2 linked regions of the Caenorhabditis elegans genome follow. The protein of the gene in region 1 interacts with the protein of each later gene in a pairwise test. Each region holds a gene or a part of one and is shown in the gene's direction. Other genes may lie near its edges.

Region 1 (8,409 bases):
AATTTGACAACTGCCGATATCAATTTCAACTTAATAAATCCTAAATGCGCGTTCAGAGCACCTGAAAGATGCGAGCATATCTCCTTGAAAAAAACTACATTTTTCTAAAAGACGATCCAAAATAAGATCAACAAAAAATATATGTTTGAAAATTGTCAAAATTTGCCGGTTGCCGCACATTATACCATATCAATTTATATACAACATTGGTCTTTTTTAATTGTTAATAACTTGGTTGTTAATAGCTGATATTTTTTTGATAACCTCAAAACTAACCGAGAAATGAAATTTTAAAGTAGAGAAATTATGTAGATTTGCTTAAAATTTAAATTAATGACCACTTAAGTTTTCGAAATTGATAGGTTTTTCGTGCTCGAAAAGTAGGAATTTTGTTTTGCAATCCTAAGTTAGCCACTTGAAACGTATTTGGAAACATTAAATTTATTCAAAATGCAATGGGGCAGTTTTGTTTCCTAAATGTTCAAAGATCTAAAAAAGAATATTAACCTTTTTTTTTTAACTTTCAGACTAAAATCGTCTACACCAATTGCTCCACCTAGATCCAATACAAGAACAATTTCCAATATGTCAGCTATGACCAACTGGACACAAGCTGATTTCAGCGAATGTGAAGATTTGACAAGGCTACGGACGGAAATTGACAAGTAGGCGTAACGATTGGCTTTTAATATCAAATATCTTCGAATTTCAGACAAAAACGGCTGATAATAGTTCTTCGACGCAAGCTTCAAGGACTTCAGCAGTAAAATTCTTTTTATTTCTCATTTTTTAAATTAATGTTATAGAGATTTTTTTTTTCATTATAATTATTGTGATTCTTTTCGGGTTGTTCTTTTCTATTTTCTGTGATTTTTTTTCTTATTCCTAGTGCTTCTTTTATATTACTTATCAATTCCTTTACCATTCACAAAGTGCCTTACCAAAAATTCACATCAATGCTCATTTTGTTGTTCCAATGGTTCTCTGAAAAATCTGAACCATCCTGAATTATAGCGACATTTCTTTTCTTTTCTGTGGGTCTTGCCTTCTTGTTTTACCAGTCTCCAGTTTTATTAAAGATTTTATTTTAAAATTTTGCAACTGGGGGTGCAAACAGAAACTTTGAAAAGTGCATTATCAACTTCTGATAGTGAGCCAACTCTTTCCAAATAGAAGGACAATTTTTGAGCAAAATTCTTTGGGCCTTAAAAATGAAAATGCCAAGGGAAACAACATCAGACGATGAAAAAGACTATGCAATTTATATTGTGCAACAGAGAAAGACTAACAGTTTTTATTGTGAGAACATTACAATAATCGCTACAAAGTTCATGGCTTGACGTGTGCCTTTAGGATTTATAGTATTTGTATTAGGTTGGTCGAAAAGTCTTTGCAAAATTTGTACTTTTCTTCATTTCTCAGCGTTAATTCATTTTTTTTCTGATTCTGTTTTTTTATTTGCATAGTACGTAATGTGCATGTTTAATATATTTAAAAAAAACTTTTGGGTGCTGTTCAAAATGACCGAGAATTTGCTCGCCGAACGTCACGCCCTCCGATGGGTTTTTCTGTACGAGTTCCCCCAAATCTGCAATTGCAACGAAACTCGTCGTAACATGTGTGCAGTGTTAGGCAAGAACTCTGTCACCTATAATACCATGAAGTTTTGGTTCGAAAAGTTCACGAAAAAGAACTACGATCTCGATGATAAACCAAGATAAGATCGCTCTCGTTTGAATATCGACGAGGATATTTCGAGAGCCCTGGAAGATGATCCAAGAGCAACGAACCGCGAACTTTCTGCGACTCTCAAGCATCCCCAAAAAACCATCATCAACCATCTCCACGAAACCGGAAGGGTAGAAAAGTTCGGTCAACTCGTTCCTCACAATTTGCCCGATTCTCAGAAAAATTGTTTTGTGACCTCTCTCTTTCGCTGCTCACTAGGAAACGAACAACGGACTGGGTTAAGGATATCATTACTGGAAATGATAAATGGGTATTGTATGTTAGCCATACCAGGAAAAAAGAGTGGGTCCCGGTCGAGGAAACCGCGACACCTGACCTCAAATTAGAACTTCACGGAAAAAGTGCTTCTCTCAATTGGGCGGGACAGTAAGGGTGTCATTTCCAGAGAGCTTCTTCCAGACTTTGCTACAATCAACGCTGGCCTATACAGCATTTAATTGGAAAAGATGGTCCATGCTCATCGATTACATCGCCCTAGAGGATCAAAGTTGTTGCTGCTCCATGACAACGCAAGACCGCATACAACTTTTAAGACCCGCCAGAAGCTCCAGACAGTCGGAATCCAAATTTTGTCTTACCCATCGTATTCGCCGGGCTTGGCTCCTACTGACTACCATCTGTTCCGCTCACTCCAGAATCACCTTGCCGGGCAGAAGTTTCATGATCGAAAGGTCGTCGAAACGGGGTTGGACGACTTCTTTGCCTCCTAATCGCAGGAGTTCTAGGCGGAGGGTACTGTTCAACTTCCGTTGTGTTGGCAAGAAGTCATAGGCATTAATGGTAAATATATTACCCATTGAATCTTGTTCGCTTTGAAAAAATACTACTTCCAAAAAAAATCAAAATTTTGCAAAGACTTTTCGACCAACCTAATATATGTAAGTTCATCTTTTGATAATTGCCCTCGGCGAAAATTTTCGAAAATTGTCTGCCAAATGCTCGGTTTCCTATCATATTGCGCAATTTTACGTAACTTTTACAAGTACATATAAAAGATTTGCAAGCCATCTATCCGTCAATACGCAGCAGCAGCATTTCCTTGATCTTTTGGGCTTTTGAGCTTTAAGTGCTCTTTGAGTTTTTTTTTAAATTGAAAGCTTTGAATAGAGAAAAGAAAACTTTATGAGAAAAAAATTAGAGCCAATAAAAAAAATAAAAAATTCCTGCCTGTGTGCCTACCAGGCAACCGCAGTAAAAAAGGCGGAGGCCACCTTTACGGCATGTTACGCCTGCCTTAATGGCACAAAGACAGAGAGTTTTGTAACTGCAAAAAGTTATTTATTTGAATAAATTCTTTTTGGTCAACTCTATTTTTTTACAGTAACTTGAATATTTCAGAGATGTCAAAATATTTGACATGGATCTATTAAAAATGATGACTTTTGCAAATATATAGTCATCATAATACCATCAACTTTCACAGTTCACATATTTCTTATCAATTGGAATGGTTAGTACGTACAACTGATAATAATAGTTTCGTTTGCATATACATAATTTCCAATTCTTCTTTTCGGTTTATTTTTGATACTTGTTAAATGATTACTATAACTTTTAAAATAAAAAATTAAACTCTGAAATTCATTTTAATTTCAGCTTTAAAAATGTTGTTACGGATACTCACATTTCTTGCTGTTTGCCAAGTGACTACCTCTCACAAAATCCTGATGTTCTCGCCAACTGCAAGCAAGTCACATATGATCTCACAGGGAAGAATCGCAGATGAGTTGGCGAATGCTGGACACGAGGTTGTGAATTTCGAGCCAGATTTTTTGAATTTAACAGACAAATTTGTGCCATGCAAAAAGTGTAGAAGATGGCCAGTTACTGGATTGAATAACTATAAGTTCAAGAAAATTCAAAATGGTGAGTATTTAAAAATTGATTTTTCACTGATGTTTCTCGAATTACCCAGTAACTTCAAGAAGAGCAAAACTAATTTTTTGTTGAATTTTGTGCCGCCTTAAAAGTTTCGGTAAATCATTTGACAAGTTTCACACAAAAATTCAGTCTTTTGGAATATTTTGAGTGATAAAACGCTAAATAATCTGTACTTATTAGGTACTAAAAATTTATTTTCAGGGTTATCTGGAGACGTATTCCAACAATCTTCAATTTGGAGCAAAATTTTCAATACGGATAGTGATCCATATCAGGATGAATACACAAATATGTGCGAAGGTATGCTCTAAACTGAATTCAAATTTTACTGTATTTTCCGGTTCAGAAATGGTAACGAACAAAGAACTTATCGAAAAACTGAAAAAAGAAAAGTTCGATGCATATTTCGGTGAGCAGATTCATTTGTGTGGAATGGGGTTGGCTCATCTTATAGGCATCAAGCACAGGTTTTGGATTGCCAGGTATTGGTTTTGGTTTTTTAAACTAAAAAGAACATTAAGATTTTCAGTTGCACAATGAGCGTTAGTATGCGTGATAGTCTCGGAATTCCAACGCCGTCCAGCTTGATACCCTTCATGTCAACATTGGACGCTACCCCGGCTCCATTCTGGCAAAGAGCCAAGAACTTTGTGCTCCAAATGGCACATATTAGAGACGAATATAGGGATGTTGTACTGACAAACGATATGTTTAAAAAGAACTTTGGGTAAGAATTTGGGAGATAATTACGTTTAATTAAATAATTTCTACAGATCTGACTTCCCATGTGTCGAATTCTTGGCAAAAACTTCTGATCTTATATTTGTTTCAACAGATGAACTTTTGGAAATTCAAGCTCCCACTCTTTCGAATGTTGTACACATCGGAGGGCTTGGCTTGTCAAGTGAAGGAGGTGGCTTGGACGAGGTTAGTAGAATCTTTCAAACTTTCTTAAAGGCTTCATATATTCAGAAATTTGTGAAAATTATGGAAAAAGGAAAAGGAGTGATTTTATTCTCATTGGGGACAATTGCCAACACTACTAATCTACCACCAACTATCATGGAAAACTTAATGAAGATCACTCAAAAATTCAAAGATTATGAGTTCATAATTAAAGTTGACAAGTTTGATAGAGTAAGAAAATTCCTATAAATCCAAGAAAACTCCCATTTACTCATTTTCAGAGAAGTTTTGATCTTGCTGAGGGACTCTCAAATGTCCTCGTCGTGGATTGGGTTCCCCAAACCGCAGTTCTTGCTCATCCAAGACTGAAAGCATTCATCACACATGCTGGTTACAACAGTTTGATGGAATCTGCCTATGCAGGTGTTCCAGTTATTCTTATTCCATTTATGTTTGATCAACCAAGAAATGGACGGTCTGTCGAGAGAAAAGGATGGGGAATTCTGAGAGATAGGTTCCAGTTGATTAAAGATCCAGATGCGATTGAGGGAGCTATCAAGGAGATTCTCGTTAATCCAACGTTAGTTTTGAACACTTTTTTGAGCACGTCTAAAATTTGTGCTTTACGCTAAAATACTAGAAAAATCGTGCTGATAATTGCTGATAGTTGCGGTAGATTAAATTAATTCTAGTTCCGCCTAGGTGTGTGCGGCAAATTTGCCAAAATTGCCGAATTCACCTAGCTCGCCTAAATTTGAGAATTGCCGCACACCCCTGGTTCCGCCGAAGCTAGTTTTTTGAAGGCCATTTTTGAGGACCATATTTAAAAGAACGTGTATTTCATCCATTTTTTCTAGAAACTTCAAAAATAAAACAATCACCTCTAATTTCATTTTCAGATACCAAGAAAAAGCAAACCGTCTGAAAAAGTTGATGCGTAGCAAGCCTCAATCGGCATCTGAAAGACTGGTTAAAATGACAAATTGGGTGCTGGAAAACGACGGTGTAGAAGAATTGCAATACGAGGGAAAACATATGGACTTTTTCACATTTTACAATCTTGATATCATTATTACTGCAGCTTCGATCCCAGTTTTAATTTTTATTGTTCTTCGAATTTCAAACATTAGTATTATTACGAGTAGCCCAAAAAATAAGAAAGATTAGGTAAATTATTGTTAATTAATAAATGGTAAAAAAAATAAAACAACTTTAAACATCATTTCGAAAAGTTCAAAAGGCATTTTTGAAGGGATCCGAATTCCGAAATCAAGTTTTGTGGAGTGTCCGTTGTGAGAATTACACCATTCTCAATTACAACGACTCTGAAAATAAAGTTTCTTCTGGAGCATATCTAGTTATTGTTTAAAAAATTATGAAGTTTCTAGTTTTCTCAAAAAAAATATTTGATTAAAGATACTCAAAATGGTCTAAAGTGCTGAATTACAATAAAATAAAAATTTAAAAATAGTGAAAGAAAAGATATTCTAGGGTGCGCGGCAATCGGAAATTTCCGGCAATCAGCAATTTCAGCAATTGCAGGTTTTGGAAATTTCCGGCAATCCGAAATTTCAGCAATTGCCGGCTTTGGAAATTTCCGGCCATCGACAATTTCGGCAATTGCCGGTTTTGGAAATTTTTGGCAATTGCCGAAACTGCCGAAATTGCCGAAAATTCGAATGCCGCACGGCAATTGCCGTGCACCCCTGAAACTAGTTGCTGATTGGTTTTGCAGTTCTCGTTTGGAGGGAATTCAAATATGAAAATAAGAAAGAGTTGAAAATGATAATCTTTAATTTCAGAACCCCTCCTTCAAATAATTATATAATGCCTAGTCGTTAAAAGAAACTCTGGTACTTACCTATCACAATGTTCAACATCGGAAAAGTCTTCACCAATCCAAATTGTAGTACTTTGTTTCAAACTATTTCTTATTGCCTCATTCACCAAAGACTTGATTGGTTCTTTCATCATCTTCGTCGATTGATCAATCACAAAGATCTGACCACCTTTTAGAAGTGCTCGGCAAACATTCACCTGACATTTCTGCTCATTACTCATTTTTTCAGGAGACACCATTTGATGCAAACCATCCGGTAGACTTTTCACATATTCTCTGAGTTGACATGCCTCAATTGCCAACCAAATATCACTATCAGCAAACTGGCAACATGGGTCAATGTTGCTACGGAGAGTGTCCGAGAATATTTTTGCTTTCTGGTAACAAATTCAATTATAACCACCAGTTTTTGTAATTTCTCACCTGTGGTATAACTGTGATCCTTGATCTCAAAGTTTTTACACTCATCTCGAAAATGTCCAAATCATCTACAACGATATGGCTCTCTTTGTCTGCTGAGCTCATCATGACCAATGTCTTTGCCAGTTGAGATTTTCCCGATCCAACTTTACCGATAATTCCCAGTTTCTCTCGTTCTTCTATTACCAAGGAGACATCTTTAATGACGTGTCTGTACTTGTTGGCGAATACATTCAAGCTGGAAATATTTGAATTGATATGAAAATTGAGGGAAATAAAAGGTAAGCAAACTTTTTGATTTCAATTTTTCCGTCGTCCGGCCAAGAGTCTCGGATGGTGCATTTATCAATCATGGGCTCTTTTGGATATTCTCTCACATTGCTGATACGTTGAACGTGTGGAGTTAGAGATTCAAGGATGCACGTGGTTCGGATGAATGTTGAAACAAGTTCGCTAATCTGAATTTTTTTGGAACTTTTGAGTTTCTTCTTTTCTGATTCTGGTTGGCTACTCTAAATTTACTAAAAATAAAAACCCCTTACACATAGAATTGATGCAACTGAAAGAGCGAATTGTGCATTTCCAATGTAATCCACTTTCAAACAAATTGATGCGATGAAGAAACACATACAAATCTGTAATTAAAATATTGTTTTGATTCAAAACCTATAACTGAAAAACCATGAGATTTGAGATGAACTCAGTTCGAAGAGAAATCCATCTGAGAGTTGAATATCTTGCCATTCGGCATCTCGTCAGTATATCTGCATTCACACTAGTTTTTGCAAGCGTTTGGCGTGTCTGAAAACATTTCTATTCATTTTTTTCTGGAAAATAAAAGTTTAAAACTACCTTTCCAAACGTTCGCACCATAATTCTTGCTTCAAAATCTTCAATAGACCCGCACAGAAATAAGTCTCGTTTTTGTTCCTCGAGGCTCGAAATTTTGTGAAGAGCTGGCAGGAAATACCGAAGTAGTCCGACAAGGAATATCAAGAATGCCACCACGAAAATCGCAAAAACTGGCACATTCACACAGACTATAGCGAATATCATAAGAATGTGGAGGGTGCATTCAAATGAGAATTTGAAAAATAGAGGAAACTGGGTGTCCACAATGTCAAGATCCTGTAATTCAATTGGTTTTTTAGAGAGCAATTCAGGTGAGGATGGGGCTATAATGAGGGTCATTTCCATTCTGGGGGGTCCTTATTTTTGGGAACATCGAGCAAATTACGAGTGAGCCCTTCCCATCTACGTCGCCAGTTTTCGCCCCCAACGCGCCCGAAACTCGCCAAATTTGCCCGCTACTTTTCCGATGTTGCCTGCTGCTTGCCCAATGTTCACCGAGGTTTTTGCTATTCCATACCACTTGGCCGGCAGTTGCCCCAGATTCACCCGCTGTCTTCCGCTACTCGCCCGCCATTTTTGCTATTGCCAGCTACTGGCTGGTAGTTGCTGGAGATTTGCCCGTTGGCGCCCTCTACGCCCTTTCTAGCTAACAAAAAGATGGCGATAATTTAAGGTCAAACTTATCAAACGCCATCCTTGTAGGATGCCAGCCACTTATGTATATTAACAATCAATAACGTCTTAACTTACAGATGTGATCA
Region 2 (7,630 bases), on another chromosome or scaffold:
ATGGCATTTTGTACAATTCATGATGATGCAAAGTCTCTTCATAGTCATTTAGCATGCCAGGGAACTGCCAATTTGGTGGTTGATGTGAGTGAAGAGAATTTCAAATTTTTAATTTTTTTTGAAACAGTAAGTCCTAAGTAGTAAGGCAAGAGAGAAGGCAGATAGGAAAAAAAAGTTTTTTTACTAGTTATAAAATTAATTATTCTTAAAATCATAGAACATTTCAGGCTTGCACGCACATTTGGAATGGAACGGAAGTTATTCCAATGTCAAAAAGATTGAAATCTTCGGTAAAAGATTTTTATTTGAGACATTCAATGACTGGGCATTGCCTAGCTGTTTCATACCGTCCATGTTTCTCAAAGTTAGCAACTTCATTGGCTGGAAAGTATGTAGAAGTTCCATTGAATCAAGAACACTCGAAAATTGAAACAGCACTGCCAAGAAGTCACAGTAACGGTAATTTTTGAAAACTACAAAAATGTCCTAGTTATGAGAAAAATCAATTTTTCTTGTGTTTGGTCAATTATCTGTTGTTAGATACTTTTCGAATTTAAATTAATATTGCCGCTTCAAAAATGCAATTCCTAAATCTGTGTATTAAATATTGGATCCGTCTAAATTTTGGCATGAAGTAGAGGCTCCGCCCATATCTTGGCTTCAAACACATAATCTACGAGACTTCTTCAGAATCGTTCGACGAAATTGACTACACAAAAACCGTTCGTACCGCTGACTCTGCAATCGATCAATATTTCACGGGTCAAATTCTGTGTGGACTCGTTGTTCTGCACTATGAACCAATTCCACAATCTGTTTCAATTATTGAGAAACTGGATCAAATATGTGTTCGCCCTGTTTATTTTTCAAAAGAAAACGAGCTGCGGAGTAGAGTTTTTGCGGAGAAACTTGGAATTGAAGCCGGATGGAATTGTCATATTTCGTTAGCCGAAGAGGAATCGGCGCCTGTAAGGAAGGCTGGTGTGGCTCATGAACAATTTTTGGCGCAGAAACCAAGTAGATCAAAGTTTTGGAGACGAATCGCATTGTAAGTTAATTCCAAAATAAACTAGTGAGCAAATCTAAAAGCGTCGAAGCCAGAGAACTTGAGTGTATCCAAAATATTTTGAACTTCAGAAGTGAATCTAACTTGGAAAGTCTGGACTGCGAATCTCTCGCCCGTGGATCTCCATCCCTTCGGAAAATGAGCGTGGTTTCTGCGAAAATGGCTCCAATCCCAAATATTGCACGACTCCCGACGGGTGTTCAGAATGTTCGGCCGCATTTGGATGAAGTAGATAATGTTCCACTTCTCGTTGGATTATTCACAGATTCAAACACTTCTGCGGTCGAGGAAATGATTGAGATTATGCAGGTATTGATGAGTTTTGGATTTCCTAGATAATCAGGGTTTCAGGAAAATGGAGAAGTTGTGATGGTAGTGGGAAGTTGTCGGAATGCGAGTAATTCAATGATCTACTCAAAAGCTAATATTTCCGTGTGTGTGGATGATGTAGAAGAACCCGCATGCCGGCTATTGGATCATCCAGTTGAATCTGTGAACAATAATGTTATGCAGATTTCAAGTAGGCTTACTGCGTTAGCCACGGATTTTCGATTGGATCATGTAAAGGTATTTTTCATTCTAGTTCATTTTTTAAACAGAATGTAGTTATCGTAGCTAAATTCAGTGGGAAAATGGTTTTTTTTTAAATTTTAATACTTAAAGTTTTAAATTTTAACCATGGTTTTTTAGATTCATGTTCAAATACTGTTCGAACAGGAAAAAATGCGCTAAATTTCTCAAATAGCCAAAAAAACATTTTCAAAATTTTTTCATGATGCTAAAACTCTGACTGAAAACATTAGAAAGTCTAAAAATTGTTAAAGATATTCAATTTCAAAAACTTCCCTTGCGCTACTCCTCTTTTAAAACAAAATTCTAACACTCTACAAAAATATTTTTTTTCTAAATTACAGCTTCTAAAAATGTCATCACTGATAGTATGTGCTCGTCATCGAATGTCATCATTCCGTCATTCTCTTCTATTTATTCTATATGCTTCACTTTTATATTCAGTGACAATTCTCATGTCAACATTCTTCTTTCTACCAATTATTTTCACACATTCTCAAACTATTTTGACCTCATTTCTACATATTCCTGTATTGTTTTTGGGCACTTTATTCACAAGTTTTGAGCCAAAATCAAAGATAATAAGGATCGCACCAAAGGTTAGTTATTTTAAAATTGAAAAAAAGTGGTTCAGGATTGACATAAAACTTACATTTTGTATGAGCTGTAAACTGTAAGAGTAAAATTATATTGAAGTTTATGAGTTAAAGCATTTTGAGAAAACCCAAAAACTTTGTGTTCTTTGCAATTTCCAATTAAAATCCAAATATTCCAGAACTCATCTGAAATTCCAAAAGTAGAAAAGCTGAAAACAGTGAGTCAGTTCATTTGGCAATTTGTTCCATCTGCTGTATACATCAACATTCTATTTCTCATCCTTTTAATGGCAAACTCCAATCTCATGTGCTCATTTTCCGATATTTCGTGCTTATTCAATACGGACGGATCTGCAGGTTCACAGCCACTTTTGGAATTTAATGAGACAAGATTGGGACAAGTTAGTCTATCAACTGAGACAATAAGGCATATCATTGGATTACAGGTACGTTGAAAGAATTATCAAGAAATAATTTCGACTGAAAGACTTTCAGATAACTGTTATCTATTGTGTCTTGTCATCAAGTTTTGTCTACGGGCTATCTTCTCTATGGTACGAATTTCCAATTAAGTGTCTTCTTTGGGATGCAGCTGTCATTGTGTGTCTTATCACCCAGGTATGATTGAAGCGTTGAGAACTAATACTTGAATTGATTTTCAAACGTAGAAATTCGTTTTTTGCACACTTTTTGAGTTTTTCCCCTAGAAACCTCTATACTCTTCAATTTCCAGATTGGCTATTCATATCTTCGAGGTGTTCATCTTTCCGACCTCTTTTCCCTTCTTCCATTGGGAATTTTATTCATATGGATATGTATTATTGTAATCGTCAATGAGTTGATCAAAATCCGTCGGATACGTCAATTCACTCGTGAACAAAGAAGAACCAAATTCGAATTTGATACAAAACTCGGAATGAACTCACCATATTAATCACTTGCTCAAGAAAGTTTTGCACACGGGTCGTTGTATAGAATAGCGTGTAGATACTACATATTTTTTTGAAAACATATGTTTAAAATTCAAAATAAATTATTTAACATTGACTGTTTATGTCTCAAATTGAAATACCATCACAATTAATGTCAATGAAAAAAATGTGAAGTAAAGTTTTTGGAAAATTTATTTGAAACCTGAATTATTTTAGGAATTTCAGGTACCACTGTTCAAATTTCGTCTATCTAGACCAATAACCATTCAAAATAGATGATTCACACTTGCCTGTTGATCATGAAAACAAGTTGTGTTTCGAATCGTTGTTCAATATCCGTGTCTCTATTTCTCTCTTGATCAATTATCTCTTCTTCCTTTTCTCTTTTCACTTAATAACAACAGTTGTTAGGTTGGCTCAGTTGAAGAAAGCAACTCACATTTGTGTACCTGACATTAACTATCGATTTAATTTTTTTCAATTTGAAGAGATTAAGAAATGCTGAAACTTCTAATAACTGTCGGTTTGGCAGTTGGGACCGTTTATTCGCTGACTTGTTATAATGTGAGTTTCCGAAATTTTCAGAACATCTGAAAGTTGAGAACTCAGAAGATTAGGTTTAAATTTGTGAAAAAATATTGATTGCAGGGAAGTAAAACGTTGGCGTTTCAAAGTGTAGGTGAGACAACAGAGGAGTGCCCCGAGTCATCATATTGCTATAATATGTCAACTTCTGCAATGGTTATGGTCAATTTTGTGAAGGCTGGATGTTCGAGATGGAGGTGTATGGTTAGTCTAAAATTCATGATTTCTAAACTTAAACTTGGGTTAGGGATGTATTTCTTGGCACTCACTTATTTCCCAAAATAGTTTTTTTCTAAATCTACAATCAGGTTGCCATTTCAGCTAGCAAAAGACACATGTATCTTCACAACCTTCCAAATGGTTCCAGTCAGTTTGTGCTGTTGTAGTTATGATCGATGCAATGTTGGTGGAAACCCTGTATATTCTGACAAGTTAGTTTCCATTTTTTAAACTCTAACTGTTCACTTGGAAAAATTAAAATTTCTATTCAAAATGTTTTTATAGGAACTTGTTTGGTTGTTAACTACATATACCGTATATTTTTTATTAGTAATGTCTATTACTGTAACCTTTTTTCGAGAACAATTTATATTTGAAACAATTTAATGGAATTCTTCCTGCACTGCTCGATGGTTCCACAATAAATTACTCTAAAAACTTTTTTAATTAAAAGTTTTTTTCTGTTAAATTATTTCACAGTGTTCATAAATTTGTACTCAAAATATGAGCCTTTGTAAATGAATAATAATGTTCTCAATTTCAAAATAAGCTCTCAATAATTAGTACTGCAGAACATTTTCTAACAACTATGATTCTTTACTTCTAAGTGCACAACGGTCATTTTTTGTTTGAAAAAAGTTATTTTTGTCAAAAATAATTTAATTACTAGCAATTTTTAATTTTTCCAGCCCGAAACAAATCCAAAATGGTGGTGGAAACAGTGGCAACTGGAACAGCGGAGGAAACAATAATGGAGCAAGCGGAGGATCGTGGGGAAATGGGAATGCTAATAATAATAATAATAATAATAATGGTGGATCGAATAACAATGGATGGGGAAATAATAAGTAAGCCTGTTTTTACAGGTGATATTGTTTAAAAAAGTGTATCTGGGTTTTGTAGAATTCCCTAATTTTTAAACCATTTTTTTAACCGTTTTCAGATGGCTTCCAAGTTTGAAATAACTTTTTAAAAAACTTATTCACTCGTATATTTACTGCAGAAATAGTGGCGCTTCATTTTAACTAAATTGTTTTTTTTTCAGTGACTGGAGCAGCAACTACAACTATGGAGGCTCAAATGCAGCCAACGAGCCAAAAATGTAAGAAATCTTTAACTTCAAACATTTCAAGAATTTAAATATTTTCAATTAAAAGTGTTTAATTAACCTTTTAAAGGACAAAACAAACAGTTGCTGGAGATGATTCATGGAACAAAAACAAATGGACAAACAAACAAGTCGAGGATATGTTCAAAAAATCCATTGATGATCGTGGGGACGAGATCCAACTGGAAGATGATTTCAAGAAAATCGATAAAAATTACAAGACACAATCAGTTCCTCAGGAGTCATTGAGAACACTTTCCGCGCGGAAGGAAGTCGAGAAAATTCCATTTGTAGCTGGAAAAAGCTCAGGAGTTGGAGCAAAGACCACAGCCAGTCCTACTACTGGAAAGTCCAAAGAAATTCAATTGTAAAATTTAATGTTTTTATATTTAACAAGTTTATAAATAATAAAGTTTGAAAACCAAAGAAAAAAGACTATAAAAATTGTTTTAAAAACCTTAAAAATTATTTGGCATTCGAACTTTTTTTTTTTTACAGATTTTTTTACTCCATTTTCAAGCCAAGTTGCCAGAAAAGGTTGCAGTCGCAGTTGAGTAAAATCCACCTCCCATCCAATAAATCCGATTTCCGTTCAAAACCTGTTGATGCTTCTTCTTTGAGTTCCTCTTTTATGACTTTTTGTGTTCCGATTCACGTTTCTGTGAAGTAGTCCACGTAATCCGTGTTCCGTATGTGCCACAACCATCTGACCAATGACAATACAAAATGTGTTGTGTGTACAAGAGAGAATGAGGGAGCAAGAACACATAAAAAACAACAACAATAATGCTGCTCTCTCACTTTCTGTATTTCAATTGAATCAAAAATGTCCGTGCTCATTTATTTGCTCTCTGGGTTGTCCGCAGAGCCTGCTGCTGCTCATTGAGCTAACCAGTTCAGTGGTCTCCAATTCACGGATACATATAAATACAGATTGATGTATGCAATTCACGTATTTCCCGCGTGTTTCAATCAAACTATATATGTTAGCTTTACTCATTTTATTACTGGCAGGTAATTTTTAAACGTTTGATCCTTTAAAGGGGTACGGTAAGAAGAAACTACAAATTTACATATTACTTATAATCTAACACTGTAGGAGCTTGCGAAATTGTTCCAGATTTTTAGAAAAAGTACAACTTTTGCAAAAATTTAACAGAACAATTTTGGGAAAAAAAAAGAAATGTTAGTGTTTTTTCTATTTTGTGTTTTTATATATTTTAAGTCCATATTAGTATATTTTGACCTGATTAGCCTTCAGGCCTATGTGCCTATTTTTTTTTTCTTGCCTGCTCATTGCCAATTTTGTTTTGGTATGCACAGCGTTTGCATATCATTTCTAATATTTTAGATTTTATGAAAGGAAAAAACAATGATTTTTTTCACAAAAAAAATATATGCCGAAAACGAGATTGGCGCTAATATTCAGAGAATTAAACTATGGAAATTCAATTCATTTTAAGTTTTGAAGCAATTCTCCATATTTAAAAAGTTGTAAAATTATCTAAAAAAAGCCAGTTCTCGAGATTTTTTTGGAATAAGAAAGTAGTTTGAACAGAACAATTGAGGGATGAAAACACCATTTTTCGCTAATTTGTGTTTCAATTTCCAGCACAGCAAATCACACCACAGTGCCAACAATGTGGAAATCGGCGAATAGTGCAACAATATAGGTCATATCCGCAGAAAAAGTTCAACTTTAATTTTGAACAATTTTTCAGCAGATTCCCCGGATTTACGTGAGTTCTCTGTATTTTGGAAATTTTTGAAAAAATTCTCTGAATCCAAAAATTCAAAAAAAAAGTAAAAACTTTAAAAACTCATAATCTTTTTCTATTCCAGATCTCCTCAACGTCAGCCACCCTCCCAACCTCGTGTATTTAATAGTTATGGTCAAGAAGCCGAAACATTTGGCTCAGCGATCGGAAAATCAATCGGGAGGAGAATTCAACAGGTTTGTGTCAATATTGAAAGCAAAAAATTTCAAGGAAATTTGAAACTTTTCCGCGTGGATTGATCGGAGGAACAATAGAATAAAATGATTGAGACTATGCAAATAATATGGGATTTTTGAAAAAAAAAAGAAACTATTGGACTCTGAGGTTTTTGAAAATCTTTTTTCTGTGACGTGCTCATCGCAATAATAATAATAATAATAATGTAAAAATTATGGGAAAAAAGTGTATTTCCTCTAATAGTACTGCACCCCATTTCCCAGGTTTGGTGAAAAATTGTCAGCTAACAGCTAAATCAATTTTCGATTTTAAATTTAATAAATTTACATCTACTAAAAATATTATATTTCACCTAAGTTGTTATATTTCCAGGCAATGGCAGCACAAGACCCAGCATTTGACATCGAGTTTGCACAACCATCATCTCCAGCATCCACATCATCTACCGCATATTCCCCACCGCCTGCCACGTCATCCACAACATATGGATCCTCGATCCCATCCACATATCCCCCATCAACTTTTGCTCCATCAGCATACCCAACTTCTTCATCATGGGGTTCAACACATCCACCAGAAGATCTTCCAACTGTTCAACA

The links. The genes of interacting proteins can lie anywhere in the genome.
Region 2: the proteins of ugt-48 (region 1) and pqn-24 interact in a two-hybrid assay, tested with the Caenorhabditis elegans proteins (one large-scale study listed by BioGRID).

The regions. Positions count from the first base shown.
Region 1 is NC_003283.11:5,542,999-5,551,407, reverse strand, and holds ugt-48 (Putative UDP-glucuronosyltransferase ugt-48), read left to right. Parts: upstream 1-3,345; 5' UTR 3,346-3,353; coding exon 3,354-3,615; intron 3,616-3,831; coding exon 3,832-3,930; intron 3,931-3,976; coding exon 3,977-4,112; intron 4,113-4,159; coding exon 4,160-4,357; intron 4,358-4,403; coding exon 4,404-4,557; intron 4,558-4,602; coding exon 4,603-4,767; intron 4,768-4,817; coding exon 4,818-5,116; intron 5,117-5,435; coding exon 5,436-5,703; 3' UTR 5,704-5,739; downstream 5,740-8,409. Other genes in the region: C18C4.7 (Golgin-84), read left to right, coding at 528-665, 713-767; cft-1 (Cystic Fibrosis Transmembrane conductance regulator homolog), read right to left, coding at 5,756-5,861, 6,398-6,753, 6,800-7,034, 7,088-7,254, 7,339-7,431, 7,478-7,597, 7,649-7,924, 8,399-8,409.
Region 2 is NC_003279.8:4,560,478-4,568,107, forward strand, and holds pqn-24 (Prion-like-(Q/N-rich)-domain-bearing protein), read left to right. Parts: upstream 1-3,557; 5' UTR 3,558-3,662; coding exon 3,663-3,728; intron 3,729-3,812; coding exon 3,813-3,953; intron 3,954-4,070; coding exon 4,071-4,180; intron 4,181-4,657; coding exon 4,658-4,816; intron 4,817-5,013; coding exon 5,014-5,070; intron 5,071-5,146; coding exon 5,147-5,447; 3' UTR 5,448-5,505; downstream 5,506-7,630. Other genes in the region: D1007.15 (Cation-transporting P-type ATPase C-terminal domain-containing protein), read left to right, coding at 1-84, 228-459, 691-1,048, 1,138-1,375, 1,418-1,633, 1,981-2,235, 2,412-2,678, 2,728-2,850 and 1 more; idpp-10 (Intrinsically Disordered Protein, expressed in Pharynx), read left to right, coding at 6,018-6,090, 6,689-6,815, 6,919-7,030, 7,404-7,630.